2 separate regions of the Mus musculus genome follow, and region 2 is reported to be linked to region 1. Evidence: microRNA targets listed by miRTarBase, many of them from high-throughput screens and not tested one by one. Region 1 holds a microRNA gene; the other region holds the end of a gene's coding sequence.

The links. Region 1 holds the annotated microRNA mmu-miR-465b-3p (GAUCAGGGCCUUUCUAAGUAGA, at 1,561-1,582, opposite strand). A microRNA usually pairs through its seed, bases 2 to 8, with sites in the 3' UTR of a target mRNA and lowers its output. Matches are read on the target gene's strand: a 7mer-m8 pairs with bases 2 to 8, a 7mer-A1 pairs with bases 2 to 7 and ends in A, and an 8mer does both.
Region 2: miRTarBase lists Fam78b as a target of mmu-miR-465b-3p. The part of its 3' UTR that is shown has no 7-base or 8-base seed match.

Annotation. Positions count from the first base shown.
Region 1 is chrX:66,827,652-66,833,039 of GRCm38, forward strand. Mir465b-1 (microRNA 465b-1) reads right to left here and starts at 1,629; the gene lies at 1,551-1,629. Mir465c-2 (microRNA 465c-2) reads right to left here and starts at 4,946; the gene lies at 4,866-4,946.
Region 2 is chr1:167,078,029-167,083,416 of GRCm38, forward strand. It overlaps Fam78b (family with sequence similarity 78, member B), which reads left to right. Exons shown (of 3, transcript NM_175461.4): 2 at 509-1,439. The coding sequence ends at 1,031. It overlaps Gm33610 (a long non-coding RNA gene), which reads right to left. Exons shown (of 5, transcript XR_865715.3): 5 at 1,424-1,504. Among named protein-coding and RNA genes, the nearest start is that of Gm33610, 24 kb to the right of the region's middle.

The DNA.
Region 1 (5,388 bases):
TTGTATGAGTGAGATTTACTTCAGACAAAGAAGTCCTGGAAAAGATCTAAGTCACATAAGTTAACTGTTTTGTACTGCCCGAACATGTCCCATCATATCCTAGAGACTTTGTCATACTCCTAGAAAAGACTTGGGACTGTTCACAGGGTCCCCAATAGAGGAGTTAGAGCAAGTAATGAAGGAGATGAAGGGGTTTGCAACCTATATGAAGAACAACAGTATCAACCAACCTGAACCCCATACCTGCTATGGACTAAACAACCTACCAAGAGTACACATGGAGGGACCCATGGCTCCACCTGCATATGTAGCAGAGGACAGCCTTGTTGGGAATCAATCTGAGGAGAGGCCTTTGGTACTGTGAAGGCTTGATATCCCAAATGTAGGTGAATACTAGGGCAAGAAAGTGCGAGTAAGGGGGTGGGTGAGGTAACACCCTCACAGAAGCAGGAGGAGGTTAGATGGGATAGGATGGAAATGGGTAAATGGCAAAATATTTGAAATGTAAATAAAGAAAATACCTAATAAAATAAAATACAGAACAGAGAGTGGTGAAATTCAGGAAAACATGGACTATGTTAAAACCTTCTATTTAATTACATTAGAAACCTTAAAGAAGTATTCACCAGTTGGTCTTCCCTCTTCTTGTGTTTTACAAATTGAGTATACTAAGCTTATGGGCTATTATCCGATGCTCAGTGAGTGCATAACTAACCACTTCTGTCATGATTGGGTTACTTCACTAAGGATGATATCCTCCAGATACATCCATTTGCCCATGAATTTCATAATCTCATTGTTTTTATTAGCTGAGTAGTACTCCAGTGTATAAATGTATCACATTTTCGGTATCCATTCCTCTGTTGGGAGACATCTGGGTTCTTTCCACCTTCTGGCTATTGTAATAAGGCGGCTATGAACATAGTGGACCATACCCTATAGGTAGAACAACAATATGAACTAAGCAGTATCCCCAGAGCTCATATGTAGCAGAAGATGGCCTAGTTGGGCATCATTGGGAAGAGAGACCTCTAGGTCTTGCAAACTTTATATGCCCCAGTACAGGGGAACGCCAAGGCTAAGATGTGAGAGTTGGTAGATAGAAGATCAGGGTACAAGGAGAGTATAGGGAACTTTTGGAATAGCATTTGAAATGTAAATGAGGAAAATATCTCATAAAATTAAAAAAAAGAATGAAACCTAAAATAAATGGATGTATTTCTAGACAAATATTATCTACTGTAGAGCAAATATGAAGGCTTGATCTCTTGTGAAGAGAAATGGAGGAGAGAATTAGATCTGGTGGACAGGGGAAGTGTAGGGCAGGGGCTATGAGGTGTGTAGAAAGAAGTAAGATAACGTCTGGATGTAATACATGAGGAAAGAATAAATAAATAAATAAATAAATAAATAAATAAATAAATAAATAGAAGTAAAAAAAAAAAGAATGTGGCCATGTGGAAGCTCACCTATAATTACAGAAGGCACATTACATGTACCTACAGATATTCTGAACATTCATCTACAAGTCATATTAAATGTATAGTTGGTAAGCCTTACTCTACTTAGAAAGGCCCTGATCAATTTTTTATTTCATCAGATCAGCACCATTCTAAATAGGGCATTGCATACAAAGCCTTTAAGGAGATGTTCAAACATTCATAAACAGTCTTGTTAGCTTCATCAAACCTCTAATCATAGCCGTTAAGGGCCAAGTAAAGGGTCATACAGAATCCTACTACTATAGAAGTTTCTTTTAATATATATACACATATGAGGAATCAAAACAAAGTCACTAAATAATAGGGAAACCATGCTCTCCACATTACAACTTTCACCATCAAGTGAAACATGCAATGATGAACTGTTTATATCTAGTTGGATCATTAACCAAATGGTTTCCTCCAGCAAACAACTTAGGCTATTGTAAATATTTTGTAAATTGCAAAAACTCTTCATAAGGTGATATTATTGAACAAGGAAGTCAGAGTGGTACCTGTAGAATCAGCACCTCTACTAATCAGCATTCATGGTACTGAAAGTTACTCTGAATGATACCAGAGGATAAATGTAACCATCAACACAACTACAAACCATGTGCTCTACATGGTGATTTGCCTACATGCTGTACTGGTGAAATAGTGGCACAAATGCAATGCAAGTAACTAATTAATCTCTCAATGGGTTTAAGGCCTGCTGTACAAGATGGAACCCATATCCTGGGGTCAAGAATCTAAGTCATGGGCCTAGGAAAGAAACGCATGTTCTATTTTTCTTCTAAATGTACAATTAAATGACTCCTAAGGATGTTCTCCTATACGCATACCAGTGTCTTGATCAGCCATAATAAGCTAGTGGATGGAAAAACACAGACCCAGAATTGGGCAGGATGCAGAGAATGAGAGAATTTGAACAAATACAGGACAATTCCAAGTCAGTATTGCCTCAGCTAGATCCATCACTCTTAGTAATTTTATCACTGTACTCCATAGAGTTTAGAACTTATTAACTGTCCTCTACTTATAAACTCTAGAAAAGAAACCAAAATATATTTTAAACTTATGCCTTTGCCCAGATTCCCTACCTGTTTTAACACTAAAGTATGAAATAGTCATCAATAAATTTGGTACCTATTCCCCCTATTGTACATAAAATTAGTGTTCTAATGTTCCTGGGTAGATAGTAACTGCATATATACTGCCATTTACACCCAGAGCACAATTTCAGGGCATGATGATTCTTGTTTTTACACAAAGATTTGTTCTTCATGTGTTTATAGGACTGAAACAAATCAAGACTATAGCCTGGTATATAGTGCTGATTTCACGTATCTTTACCCTTCCCCATACTTTCAACGGTAATTATAACATAAATAAACATAATATAACATACATAAAGTACTAGCTTTCATCCTGTTCTACTTAGGAAATTCTCTCACTATCTATCAAAATTCTCCCTGAATGTACATTTACTCATGTTTTTTCTTTAAATGAATACTCATCTCTGTAACAAAGCAATATGTTGACTACTATTTTCTTTTTTTTTTTGTCTACTTTACTACAATTAGTAAGTTTGGCTTATTTGCTTTTAAATATTACCTTTGTTTTCTAACCTGTACATTTATGATGAACAATTTTGTGGTGAATACACCCTAAGTTACATTGATGTCCAGACAGTTACAATGCATCCTGCTATCAAAAAGGTTTATCTCTCACATGTTGAAGTTTTAACCAAATTATATCACCACAAACATTGTATGAGTGAGATTTACTTCAGACAAAGAAGTCCTGAAAAGATCTAAGTCACATAAGTTAACTGTTTTGTACTGCCCCAACATGTCCCATCATATCCTAGAGACTTTGTCATACTCCTAGAAAAGACTTGGGACTGTTCACAGGGTCCCCAATAGAGGAGTTAGAGCAAGTACTGAAGGAGATGAAGGGGTTTGCAACCTATATGAAGAACAACAGTATCAACCAACCTGAACCCCATACCTGCTATGGACTAAACTACCTAGCAAGAGTACACATGGAGAGACCCATGGCTCCACCTGCATATGTAGCAGAGGACAGCCTTTTTGAGAATCAATGTGAGAAGAGGCCTTTGGTACTGTGAAGGCTTGATACCCCAAATGTTTGTGAATACCAGGGCAGGAAAGTGGGAGAAAGTGGGTGGGTGAGGTAACACCCTCACAGAAGCAGGAGGAGTATAGATGGGATAGGGGGGAAATTGGTAAATGGGAAAACATTTGAAATTTAAATAAAGGAAATATATAATAAAATATAATTAAAAAACAGTATAGAGAGTGGTAAAAACAGGAAATCTTGGAGTATCTAAAAACCTTGTATTTTATTACATAAGAAACCTTAAAGACGTATTCACCTATCTTCCCCCTTCTTGATTTTCTTGTGTTTTCCAAATTGTATATTGAGTATTTTAAGTTTATAGGCTAATATCCCCTCATCAGTGAGTACATATCTAATGACATCTTTTGTATTTCGGTTACCTCACTAAGAATGATATCCTGAAGATACATCCACTTGACCAAGAATTTCATAAACTCATTGTTTTTAATAGCTGAATAGTACTCCAGTGTATAAAAGTACCATATTTTCTGAATCCATTCCTCTGTTGGGAGACATCTGGGTTCTTTCCAGCTACTGGCTATAATAAATAAGGAGGCTATGAACATAGTGGAGCATACACTATAGATAGAATAACAATATGAACTATCCAGTATCTCCAGAGCTCACATGTAGCAGAAGATGGCCTAATTGGCCATCATTGGGAAAAGAGACCTCTAAGTCGTGCAAACTTTATATGCCCCAGTACAGGGGAATGCCAGGGCTACGAAGTGGGAGTTGGTGGGTAGAGGATCAGGGTGCAAGGAGAGTATAGGGAACTTTTGGGATAGCATATGAAATGTAAATAAGGAAAATATCTAATAAAATTTTAAAAAGAAAAAAAGAATGAAACCTAAAAGAAATGGATGTATTTCTAGATGAATATTATCTACTGTAGAGCAAATATGAAGGCTTGATCTCTTGTGAAGGGAAATGGAGAAGAGAAGTAGATTTGGTGGACAGGGGAAGTGTAGGGCAGGGGCTATGAGGTGTATAGAAAGAAGTAAACTAGAGTCTGGATGTCATACATGAGGAAAGAATAAATAAATAAATAAATAAATAAATAAATAGATAAATAGATAAATAGATAAATAAATAAAATATAAATAAATACATAAATAGAAGTAGAAAAACAAGAACGTGGATATGTGCAAGCTCATCCATAATTACAGAAGGCACTTTACATGTACTTATAGATACTCTGAATATTCATCTACGAGTCATATTAAACGTAGAAGTTGGTAAGCCTTACTCTACTTAGAAAGGCCCTGATCATTTTTTTTTTATTCATCAGATCAGCGCCATTCTAAATAGGGCATTGCATACAAAGCCTGTAATGAAATGTTCACACATTCATAAACAGTCTTCTTAGCTTGATCAAACCTCTAATTATAGCCATTAAGGGCCAAGTAAAGGGTCATACAGAATCCTTCTACTATAGAAGTTTCTTTTAATATATATGAGAAATCAAAATAGAGTCACTAAATAATGGGGAAAACCATGCTCTCAACTTTACACCTTTCACCACCAAGTGAAACATGCAGTGATGAACTGTTTATATCTAGTTGGATCATTAGCCAAATGGTTTCCTCCAGCAAACAACTTAGGCTTTTGTAAATATTTTGTAAATTGCAAAAACTCTTCATAAGGTGATATTATTGAACAAGGAAGTCAGAGTGGTACCTGTAGAATCAGCACCTCTACTAATCAGCATTCATGGTACTGAAAGTTACTCTGAATGATACCAGAGGATAAATGTAACCAT
Region 2 (5,388 bases), not on the chromosome of region 1:
TGAGTGCCGGGTTCCGGTTTAATGGTAGAATTTAAAGATTTCATGTTGAGTAGAAATTCTACCGCTGTGGCTTTTCCAAGAAATTTCTATAATGTTGAACTTCACCTCTCCTACCCCTCCTGTTACCTCCTCTCAAGTACATTCAATTTCAGATCACCTCTTCCCCTGATCGGACTTTACACACACACATTCACAGGTCACCTCTACACTGTTCATTGCCATTGTCGCAATGATTTGGCAGCTATACATGGCCTCACCACTATCTCCTTGGGCTTCTTTTCCATTGGCATTGCTTTTTTTTTCAAATGTCACTTTGATTGTTTTTTTTTCTTCTCTCATTTAATCCTGATACAACTCAGCATAGAACTTTTGACCCCAACCTGCCTCCTCCCTCCAAACTTCCCATTTTGCCCAATTTGACTGTCTTAGTAAGTGGTGGGCACGTCTCCAGCTTATAAAAATTTCATTGAGTCTCTTCTTTTCTCGTGTATCCCTTCTGCTTTTCCAGGTCAAGCTGGGAACTGCCTGACTTGAGGGAAGGGAGAGTAAAAGCCATCAGTGACTCAGACGGGGTGAGCTACCCATGGTACGGGAACACGACAGAGACTGTGACCCTGGTTGGCCCCACCAACAAGATCTCCAGGTTCTCCGTCAGCATGAATGATAACTTCTACCCCAGCGTGACATGGGCAGTGCCAGTGAGTGACAGCAATGTGCCACTGCTCACAAGGATCAAGAGGGACCAAAGTTTTACCACATGGCTGGTGGCCATGAACACCACCACCAAGGAAAAGATCATACTGCAGACCATCAAATGGAGGATGAGAGTGGACATTGAAGTGGACCCTCTTCAGCTGTTGGGGCAGCGGGCCCGGCTAGTGGGCAGGACTCAGCAGGAGCAGCCCCGGATCCTGAGCCGGATGGAGCCCATCCCCCCTAACGCACTAGTGAAGCCCAATGCCAACGATGCCCAGGTCCTCATGTGGAGGCCCAAGCGGGGACCACCTCTGGTTGTGATACCTCCTAAGTAAAAGCAGACTGCCCAACTGTGTGTGGAACACATGCCACTGAGACCCGCAGTGGGGTGACCAGGGGTGGCAGGAGCCAAACTGAGTTTCTGAGCCAAAGCAGACCCTCTTGGTGTGCCAGCCTTTGCAGCTACTTGTGATGAGTACAGCTGTTCCTTGGGCGGTAGAACCATAACCCTTAGGAAAAGCCCCTTCCTCTTAGGAATAAAGAAACCACTGATTTGATAGACTTGCTCTGATTACCGTGCAAGTAGCCATATTTTGGAGCTGACCAGGACGATTCTTTTATTTGAACTATTGACCATTTCTTTCCTGTGAGACGCAGGGGATGGAAATGAAACTAAACGGTGCCTGTGGCAGATGCTGCTTCCCAACCAATTAGAAGCGAGAGTGAAAACATCCACACCAGGTGTTCGTAAGACAGTCTCCTTGTGTGACTGGAGGGTGCTGGGGAATTGGGTGAAAGATCCTGGGTTCTGGGGAGAGAGGAAAAGAAGGTGTTACTACAGTTTAATGACAAGTGTTAGCTGGTGGTCAGATTGTCAACACACCCCCTGGAATGAGAGGGACACTTAGAAAACAAAACTCTGTTGTGCCCTTTGAGGGAAAAGCTGTTTTGGAACTGTCCGAGGTGCTGACGTCAGCAGCCCCCAGTGGAGACTGGCTGCTCGCATCCACTCACTCGCCTCTTTCCAAAGAGATTGCTCATTCTAAGTGTTGCTAGTTACGGTATTGGATATACAGTTCCTGTTTTCTGTAGTGATTATGGTGTTGGGTCTCTCTTGAGTTTTTAGTCACTCAATCTGTGACTTTGTTTACAGCCACTGATTCTTATCGCCAGCCCTCAATTCACAAAGATGTATAAGCCTCGTGTTCATGTAGGGTGTAGGGAATGTCTCAACCAATGAGAACAACATTCTCAATATTGAGTTTCTGAATTGTTCAGACACAGGAAGGGCACACATCTGTGCACACACCCGGGTGCTCACACACCAGGATTTAGAAAGAATAACAACTAGTCTTGCCGATAGTGCCTGAATATTCATTCATGGCCTTTAAGCACAAATAGTACACACACTGTATGCCCACATAGGTTAACTTCAGCTATACTTACAAAAATTCAACGTCAACTGCTTGTCCAGTTGTAGATAAGAAATGTTCAGACTTCTTTAGTGAACGTCTGAGCCTTAAGCAATCTTGGGTTGCTGAGATCCAGCCAATAAAGATGAGAAGCAATTTCCCTTTAGTCCAGCAGTGCAAAACTTTTTAAAGAGTTTCCAGTGTTTACAGTGGTAAGATTTCCAACCCTTTCCACCTAAGTCACCATGCCCCGCCCCACCCTCACTGAAGAGCTTCCCCTGTTATTCTCAGCGGTGCCGATTGTGAGGTGCATCCTTTCTTGTTGAGAAACAACTCGTGTAAACTGACTACAGAAGTCTCACAATGGTGTATACTGAGTAAGTAGATTTTTTTTAAGCCTAATTTCAGAGGTGAGAGATTTCCAAGTTCAGGGCCATTATACAAATCCTGTCATTGACTCCAAATCTTCCAGAGTTTGGGGACAGAGAATGCAAACCTTTCTCATTACTCTTGTTTCCCATGCACTGTAGTCTAATTTCCTTCATGCTCTGATCCCAAAGGATGCTACTCAGAGCAATATAGCACTAACTTCACATTCCAACCATTGGCTTCTTTCACCTAGATTAGTTACTGATGGCAAGTTAGTTACAGCAACACATTAATGGTGCATTGGTAACATCGGTGAGTGGCAAAGACTCTGGAAATAAGTCAGCTCCTAACTTGGCTTTCCCATGCTTCCCTACTTTTTAATGGCAGCTGACCTCAGAGACCTACAGATTGAAGAGTAAAGTTGCTTATTTTCCATGCTAACATCAGAAGCAGCAGTCTCTCCCTCACATTGAATCAGATGCCATTTTTATGAGATTTGGGTCAATGGATGCTGATCTTGGAATCTAAGCCATGTAGCCCCACTTTAAGAAAATCTGATTTTTTTTTACATCTAAAATTGTAAGAACAGATGAATAAGTTTATATTAAAAATTCTATGGAAGGTTTCAGTCTTTAAATGTTCCTAGCACGTTAAGATATGACTCACACACTTATATTTACATATAATATAGCTTTTCAAAGCCTTGTCTATAGTTAAAAGCAAGGTGCAGTATGCTTACCTAGACTTATTCTTCCTTAAAAAGAATCAATTCAGATTTTTAAAATAAATTACCCCAAGGCAGTTTCCTGGAGAATGAGGTAATAAAAATTGAGGAAAAAAATATATGAGAAGGGACTCCTAAAAGCTAAACTATGCAAATGTGCTTTACCGTTGTTGTGTGTCTCTTCTGCAAACCCTACCGTTGGGTCTCTCACTTCTGAAATCAACCTGCCAGAACACTCAATTGCCCAATAGCCAATTATGTTAAAATTATCATTGTTTTACAAGGAGATGGCCCCTTTTTTCACTATCTGTGGATCATTGACTTTTAGTTTAGTCAGGACATTGTCAAGCAAAAAGGATCTCTTGTAGGACAGAATTAACCTTGAGGTCTCTGGTGGGAAGATTAACCTGTATTCCCTTGAGAATGCATGATCTGACAGCAGACAACATCAGTTTCAAAGGGGCTCATTATGAGCCTTTGATATTAGTTGGGTTGTCTCCAAACTATATTTGGATCCCATTTATGTACATGGTTTCTTAGTGGTATAAGGTTTTTAAATTCCTGTATTTGAAAGAGCCTTCCACCAGATCTTAAGTTCTAAAATGAGGTCACCTTTGAGATCTTCCAGTCTATGATCTCCAAGGAAATTGAGGCCCATTTAAATTAGGTCATCTATTCAGGATCACATATCTCATCAGCACATGCCACGAAAAGGCCTGAGTCTCCCAGATCTCAGCTTACAATACAGGCACACTACCTGGGACCTGGGGTCCTCCCTTGTTTCCAGCCAGAAACATTGTCATTGTCCTGGAGTCATTCACCCACAAATCAATTAGCCTAGAAATTAAAAACAATTGGGTCCAGACCCCTTTTGTTATAATGTCAAAAACAATGACTATTTCAGACTGCTTTCTATCTGTGACAGCTGTTTTGATATTGAACCCTTGATCTTTGTTCTCCGCTGCATGCCTACCACATCCTCAAGTCCTTGTTACGGCCCACAAGACAGGGGAGGCTGGAAGCTAGTCCCCTTTCTGCCATCCATACAATGAATCATTTTGGATCCTCCTCCATCACTCCCCCAACGAATACCTCAAAGGCCAAAGTCATGGTCTAAGAAACAATTCTGCATAGTAAAATAAAACAGCAATGCTTCATAAAAGATTTTACAAAAGGCTTGCACATACATTTTCTCGTCCACAGGAAATCTTATAAGAAGTGTCGTACAGTGGTGGTTGTGGTGTTATTGTCTCCATTTTACAAATAGCAAATCAAGACCAAAGAGGTTAAATGGAATATCCACAGGCACACAGACAGAAAAATGCCAAGAGCCAGGATTCAAACTGGGCCTTTTGGCTTAAACCCTCATGTTCTGCCTCTGTATCATGCTGGCCCTTAGTTTACCCCTTAGCACAAAAGAGAAGAAAGAAAAGGAGGAAAGCAAGTCACTGTCACCTGGCACAATCATGTAGTCCTCCCCTGCCTACCAAGTGGAGTCATTAAAAATGAGAGACTGAAAGCTGTTTTCTTCCTCAAAGAACCTTGTAATCCCCAGGGAGGTTGGCCCAGAAAAATGCCTGTCAGGGACGGTGGTGTGGGGGAGGTGGCTGTCATTTGTAATTAATGGAGTAAGAAAGCTGTTCCCCTGGTCTCTGAATCCCTTAAACACCACAAGTACAAAGACAGGCAGGAAGCATGCATCCTACAGCTGAGGTCCCAGCTGAGCACTGCCCTGCCACCCGCAGTCCCTCAATGCGCACACAGGAGCAACCCATGGGGTGGAGGCCGTGGAAACAATGGCTTTCCAAGGCCTTCTTGGCACATTGACTGTTCTTGTTAAGAGCAGAGGGCACAATTAAACATTGATAGAGTCAGCTCCCAACTGAGTTGAAAAAAAAAAAGAGAGAGATAAACACACACACATACACACACGTACACACATAGACAAAGACCTAAAACACACACACACACACACACACACACACACACACACACACACACACACACACACTTTCCAGGCTGAAAAGAAAATTAATCAAAAACCCAATGAATGCCTGAACTCTATAATTAAGCCTAAATGATCCTTAGATAGAACAGGAGCTGCGTGAACAAGCCCAGTGAGCAAGCACACAGATATTTTTACCGCAGAGTCTCACTGCCATTAATTTCTTTTGAGATCTTGAGTAC